2 linked regions of the Coturnix japonica genome follow. The protein of the gene in region 1 purifies or fractionates together with the protein of each later gene. This does not show direct contact. Links are inferred from orthologs where the notes say so. Each region holds a gene or a part of one and is shown on either strand. Other genes may lie near its edges.

Evidence for each region. Proteins that work in one complex are often made in the same cells at the same time.
Region 2: the proteins of PPP2CB (region 1) and ANKLE2 purify together in Homo sapiens (affinity purification with mass spectrometry; 4 studies listed by BioGRID and IntAct, counting the BioPlex papers as one, with this or other methods). This does not show direct contact. The link is inferred for Coturnix japonica from reciprocal best matches to the Homo sapiens genes PPP2CB and ANKLE2.

What each region holds. Positions count from the first base shown.
Region 1 is NC_029519.1:30,558,601-30,561,772, forward strand, and holds the end of PPP2CB (serine/threonine-protein phosphatase 2A catalytic subunit beta isoform), read right to left. Parts: exon of another isoform or gene 2,611-3,172; coding exon 2,449-2,610; exon of another isoform or gene 2,430-2,448; intron 1,662-2,429; coding exon 1,543-1,661; intron 1,446-1,542; coding exon 1,373-1,445; 3' UTR 648-1,372; downstream 1-647. Other genes in the region: GSR (glutathione reductase, mitochondrial), read right to left, coding at 13-39, 455-583.
Region 2 is NC_029530.1:1,118,181-1,121,833, reverse strand, and holds part of ANKLE2 (ankyrin repeat and LEM domain-containing protein 2), read left to right. Parts: intron 1-337; coding exon 338-529; intron 530-1,042; coding exon 1,043-1,236; intron 1,237-1,722; coding exon 1,723-1,911; intron 1,912-2,189; coding exon 2,190-2,312; intron 2,313-2,564; coding exon 2,565-2,631; intron 2,632-3,288; coding exon 3,289-3,470; intron 3,471-3,653. UniProt on the Homo sapiens protein: Involved in mitotic nuclear envelope reassembly by promoting dephosphorylation of BAF/BANF1 during mitotic exit.

The sequences.
Region 1 (3,172 bases):
AAGCACACTCACTTTTTTTGGCACGCACCCAACGTTGACCTATGGGGGAAGAAGAGCGAGCTGTGAGCGTAACGCGGATAAGGGGACAAGGGGACAAGGGGATGCTCCGGCAGCGCTGCACGCCGCGTCCCATTGCCCGGAGCCGGCGGCGCGGGCAGCCCGGTGCCCGGCACAGCCCATGCGGGGGGTGCCGCGTCCCTCGCGCCGTGTCCCAGCTCCGCTTCCTCGGTGCTGAGCGCGGCAGGTCGGCGGTGCTCCCGGTCCGCGGGGCAGGATCCGCCGAGCGCTCCGTCTGCGGCCGCGTTCTGGCACCGTGGGTCGGGCGGCCGCTGGGCGAAGGGAAGCGCACGGCCGCCGCTCGTCCGCAGCGAGGCGCTGGGCTGCAGAGCCGTTTCGCCGCCCGCCGCCGCAGCTCTCCCCGCCGCCCGCGTCCCGCCGCCCCGGCCCGACTCACGCAGGTGCCGCCGAGGCGCCGCGGCTCCACCAGTGCGACGCGGGCCCCCATCTCTGCCGCCCGGCGCGCCCCCGCCAGCCCGCCGGACCCGCCGCCCAGCACCAGCAGCTCGTACGCGGCCGCCGCCATGGCTCAGCCCCAGCCCGCCCGGCACCGCCCCGGCCCGCCCCCGAGAGCGCAGCACCACGGCTCGGGCTGAGAAGGGCGTTTATTGTTCAGGTACAGCGAGTGGGACAAGCGCGGCCGTGACAAGTACGCGAAGGCGGGAACAACACAGGACGGGAATCGAGCTAAAAAGGGAACGCTTTATTCCGTGTTATGACAACGTACTCCCAAAAGCAGGAATCGCTTCCCTTCTCCTAGAAGCGCGGAAGGGCGGGGGCTGGAAGGGGCCTTAAGGCCATCCGACCCCTGCCGGGGGCAGGGCCCTCCCCTCGGCCGGGCCGCCCTGGGCCCCAGGCAGCCCATCCCGCTCCACTTGAGGCGCTCATCTTTCAGTAAAATCAAGAGTGGTGGGGTAAAGAAGTTAGTGTGCATTTCCCTTAGAAATGAACTCCAAAACGCTAAGTCATGCCAGTTAACCACTAGAACTAAAAATTGACAAATAAGCGTAAAAGGAGATGGAAGCGTTAGAGTTACCTTGTCCTCTGAACAGTCCAGAAAAAAAAACAACAACAAAAAATAATGACTACAATACAGCAGGCAAACTGACTGTCGGACTGATTGGTATAGGATACATAGTGTCGTAAGGAATTCAGTCTCAGGTTGTGCTGAACGCTCTTCGTCCTCAATATGGCACGTTTTGGTCCATGATGGGGATTATAAGTAGAGACGAACCCCGATTTCTTACAGAAACATGTAAATATTGTTGCTCTTTAAAACGCCAGGTGTACTTCCTTCTAAAAGGTTACGAGAGGTTTATAGGAAGTAGTCTGGGGTACGACGGGTAACATGAGGCTCTCCACGACGAGGTGCTGGGTCAAACTGAAGGCTGCGGGAAAGAAAAAAGGGTCATTAGTCCTCCATGCGAGGCAGTTTCCAATACAGCAGTTAGGCAGGAGGAGAACAGCTCAAAGCACATTACTCACAAGGAATATTTTAAAGTGTCATCTAGTTCCATGATAGCAGCCTGGTTCCCACAGCGGTAACAGTAATTGGGCGCACTGAAAATGGTCACCACATTTCGGTCGTGGCACCAGTTATAGCCCTGCCGGGAAGAAGAGAAAAGAGGTCTCTGTTAAACCTCAGCCCTCAGTCCGTCTGAATTTCCTCTTCCAGCCTCAAACAACAACTCAAGCCAGCTGTGAAACAGAAGGTTTCTTCCAGGTAGTTCCACTTTCAGAAGGCACTCTACAGCGTCAGCAAGTGGCGTTTACAAGCAGTGCTTACCCAGCAACAATAATTGAAGCCATTCTACACAGAGACCAGCTATTTGCACTGGTCTGTTTGCAAACTGTGGATCACAGGAGAAGGAAAACTAGAGATCTCAGGTAGACCCTCAGCCTTCATTCACCACAAATGAGAATCTGCCAGTTCACCTGGAAGGGCATTCTGACACACGCTGCTACTAACGAGACCTGCCGGAACTCCATGTAAAAATAAGTCTGCTCCACTGACCCACTAGGCAGTTTTCCATCAAGACAAACAAGAATAGACCATCAGTAGCCAAACTTAGGGCTTAATCCCTGTCACATCTGACCACTGCGTACTATAGGGCAGCCTGTTTAATGGAGCACATAAGAAGATTATTACTTCAACAAACAGGGCATGGCAGGGTCTCTTTGGCAATGTACTTCTCTACAGAGCAGGTCAAAGCACATCCTTTTACATCGCTTGTTGTTTTCACACGATTAAAATCCCTTTCAGGAACTTACCTGCTTAGCCTTTACGTGTCAGCTCATGCCAACACATTAGAAGGTCTAACAAAAGAGACAAGAATTGACATCTATCTTTTTTTTCCTCTCTGCCTGTTCAGCACGAAATGCTTGCCCTACCTCCATGACCAGTTGGTGAGCGCGGGAGACCAGTGTAAGACCATTGGCATGATTAAATGTCTCAGAAATGTCTTGCCCAAACGTGTAGCCGGCACCACGTGGAGATATGCCCCAGCCACCACGATCATCTGGATCCGACCACAACAGATCACACATTGGACCCTTGAAAGAAAGTGAGTATTCTTCATTAGCTTTCATTGTGCTTGCAAAGTAGTTATGAAAATATATCTTTACAAGTTTACAGTAAAAAGCCTGCATTTTCTTTTCTGCATAAGCCACATATGTTTATCTAACAACAGTTAGTTACTCCATGCATCAGTCGACATCCTTTCACAAGAAACGAATCCGCATACAGCTGAGGAGTCCCTGCAACCAGAGAACTCTGGCCACCTCCATCACACACTGCTTGCCATCCCACCTCACCTAACCAGAGCTGCAAAGACATGCACAGCAGATCCACGTTCTTCCTGACTCTCACAGCAGAATAAAGACCACATGGGAAAGTATGTATGCAAGTCCGAGGATACACAAAGGGATCATTAGTGCCAACCAACTTGTAATAAATTAATGCAAGGGAAATTATCCACCTGAAGTGACCTAAGTGAACTAATCAAAAGATTGATTGTTAATCTTCAGCGGTTCTTCTGGCAGGGTATTAAGCATGTAGTTTCCTCTCCTGAATTGTTGTTCATTGGATTTTACATATTCAGAAATACCCTGGTAC
Region 2 (3,653 bases), on another chromosome or scaffold:
GGAAACCAAGCGTGGGCAAAAATCATTTGCAAAGCATGAATGCAAATGATCGGAAGCGATCAAAATTGTTATGACTCCATCTTTTCCCTTCTTTGAGAAGCTCATGTGTAGAACAGGTGCTTACAGTGTGAGTATCTGAGCACTGCACATCCCCTGAAGTTACCCACAATGTGCAATATTCTTCTATTCAGTTTTCTAGAGGTAAAATTCAAATTGACTTTGACTCTTTTGCCATGTTTGTAGAGAGACACTGACCAAACTGTAAGGATAGCCTGATGATTTCTAGGAACAGATTTGAGATTACTTAAATAGCTTAATTTTGGCTGTACTGTTTCAGAGAGAATCCATGTTTATGAAGATAAGAAGGAAGCTCTCCAAGCTGTTAAGATGATTAAGGGTTCACGATTTAAAGCGTTTTCAAACAGAGAAGATGCTGAGAAATTTGCTAAAGGAATCTGTGATTACTTTCCATCTCCAAGCAAGTCCTCTCTGTGTTTGTCTCCGATGAAAACAGGACCACTTAACAGAGGTATGGAGGGTGTTCACCTGTGTACAGCAGGCGCAATGGAGAGGGGTAATTTTATGAGAGACAGGAACGAGTCCCTTCATTAGCAATGTGCCAATAACTGGAAAAAAAATCAGAGCAGTATTTTGAAGCCTCTTAATAACTTGAAACAGGTCTGTTACGATGAATTAATTACACTAAAAAATTTAAGGTAATTGTACAGAACTGCAAAAGCCATTTCAGGTATTTAGAAACTTCCTACTTGTTGTTGAACTTTCATTTTAGGCTTGGATGGAAGCAGGTTAGTAGTTGTGAGGCTGTTTTAGACTTCGGTTTGGACCAAAAAGCTTTATAGGTCAATTACGTTGTATTTCCTTCCCTACCTCTTATTACTCCCAGGATCTTAAAATGCCAATAAACTTATTTACACTAAAGATGTCAAGTTAATAGTTTGGATTAAAAGCTTTTGCTGGTGGTATAAAAATAGTGATCACTGAAAAGAGAGCAGCCAGAAGTATGACACTTGTGTTTTTATAGATGGCTTATGCTCACTGGAGATGGAAACTGCTAACAAGGAAAGGGCCAACAGTTACAAAAGTCCACGTACCCAGGATCTTACTGCTAAGCTTCGGAAAGCTGTGGAGAAAGGAGATATATCAACATTTTCAGAACTTATTTGGAGTAATCCTCGCTATCTTATTGGATCTGGGGACAATCCAACAGTTGTACAGGTAAAAAGATACATATGTTTATCTCCAAGTTCTGCTTCGGTGATAAGAGTTTGAGGGCTGATAAGCATAACTGGAATGGATGTGGTTCCCTGCTTTCCACTTCTTCCAACTGGTGTGGTTTCTCAGTGTTGATTTACACCAGTTGGAAGCTGTTTTCCTGCTCTTTTGTATGCTGAACATTGCATCTCCTTTTATTATTTAACCTTCTTTGCTACATTTTTCCCTAAATCTAAAACCTGACTATAGCTAAGAATGACGTAGTTAATTTTAAGTGTAACCTGACAGTGTGGATACATGTCTTTACAGTATTGTCACACTGCATTTCTGGATGTCAACTGTTTTGTGAACATATCTTCCTGAGATAGTAGTAGGAGATAAAAATCCCCATGTAAGACAGTGTGGGAACCCATTTTTCCCATTGGGTCATTTAAGTGTACAGGTGTAGGCAGGCTGTTGGATTTCAGTTAGCTCTGATTTGTTTTTCAGGAGGGATGCAGGTACAACGTCATGCACGTCGCTGCCAAGGAGAACCAGCCTGCTATCTGCCAGCTGTTATTGGACACCCTGGAAAATCCTGAATTCATGCGGCTTATGTATCCAGACGATGATAACACAATGCTAAAGAATCGCATCCGATACATTGTTGACCTTTACCTTAATACACCTGATAAAATGGTGAGATCTGGGATGTGTGACTGTTTCTTATTGTTAGGAAACTACTGGAAGGCATTAAGGAAGCAGAAGGGAGAAGGAAAGAGGGAAGGGACCATTTGAGCAGAAGGTAGATGGTCATGGGCTTTGTGGGTTTGAACAGTCGTTTTTCCACCATGCAATGGGAAAGGATCTATTAGGAGCCCTGTTCGTTTACTTATCCTGCATCCAAAATAAAACATACAGGATTGACTTAATGATGTTTCCATATACATGTGAATTTCCTCTCTTTAATGTTGCAGGGATTTGATACTCCGTTGCATTTTGCCTGCAAGTTTGGGAATTTGGATGTTGTTAACGTGCTTACGTCACACCCGGCTATTGTGAAAAACCCCAGGAACAAATATGATCAGACTCCAGCAGAAGTAAGTCTGTCTATGTCCACAACGAAGGCATCATGCCAAAGCAGGGCTTTTCAACTTTGAACGTTCACAGACTGCTTAGTTCACAGGCTGAGCTACCAGTGAAAAATCTATGGGTCATTACAAATATTCTGTGTTGATTATAGCCAGAGCCAAGTTTGAGATGTTAGGATTCACTGCTTTTTGCTTACAGTCTCTCTATTGGAAATCGGTGTCTTTTGTTTTACTAACAAAGAACTAATGTTTTATTAACAGGTGGTTTGTGAGAGAAGCAAGAATAAGTCTGCAGAATTGAAAGAAAAACTGAGAGAGTACTTGAAAGGTCAGTGTTCAAACAACAGCAGGAATGTGGCACTGTCAGACTCTCACTGTTTTCTGTTGGTTTTCTGTAGCATTCCTGTCCATAAGTGCTGCTGTACAGTATTGTAAAAATCACAGAGAAGCTCTAAAACTGACAAGGAACAGAAAACTTGCCGTGTCTTTTAAATGGAGCGGTTGGTTCTCTTACTGTATGGATTGCAGGATTTTCCTCATAGCTCTCCATAATGGCACAGCCATTATTTTATTCAGCATGTCTATGGCAGAAAATCATCTTAAAGCAAACAAAAGACCTCCACAGGGCAGGAGGTTCCTTGGTCACATTTGGCACCCCTGTGCTTTCCCTGACAAGAAAATCTTGCCTGTTTTGTCACGTGCAGGTTTGGGCATCTGTCAAACAGACTTTGAAACGGGGTGACAATCCATTAGAAAATGCTGTGTGTATCAGGGCGTGTGTTTTTGCATTTGAGACAGAAGGGAGCATAGACTGAAATACAGCCTGCAAGCAGGCAATAAACACTGTACAAGTGAATTTGAATCATATATTTTACTGGTGAAATCAAGTCAGATGGTTAAATGTACAGGTGTATCGATGTTCTAGGAGGAAAGAGCAAGCTAATGTAACAACAGCTTAAGAAAGCTTGGTTTTGCTTTATTTAAGGTCGATACTACGTACCACTGCTGAGAGCAGAAGATAATTCCTCAGCTCCTGTCATTGGTGCACCATGGTCACCAGATCAGACAGATGAGAGTCCTCAGGCAGCTCTGTCCAAATATATTGGCAGCCCCAAGGATCCAGTGTTGTCCATACGAGCTTTCGCAGGCCCCATGAGTCCGTCCAAGGTAAGGAGCTGATGAGAGCTTCATGTGACATCTGTGCTTGTTCATGAAGGTGGAGCTGTGGATGGGATTAAAAAAAATTTCTCCTTTCTGGAATGTTTGAAGCAGTTCATCAACTTTACTTACTGAATTCATGATAAAGTCTGCTTCCTGAATGGAAACAGTGACAGTCAAATAGTAGGTATT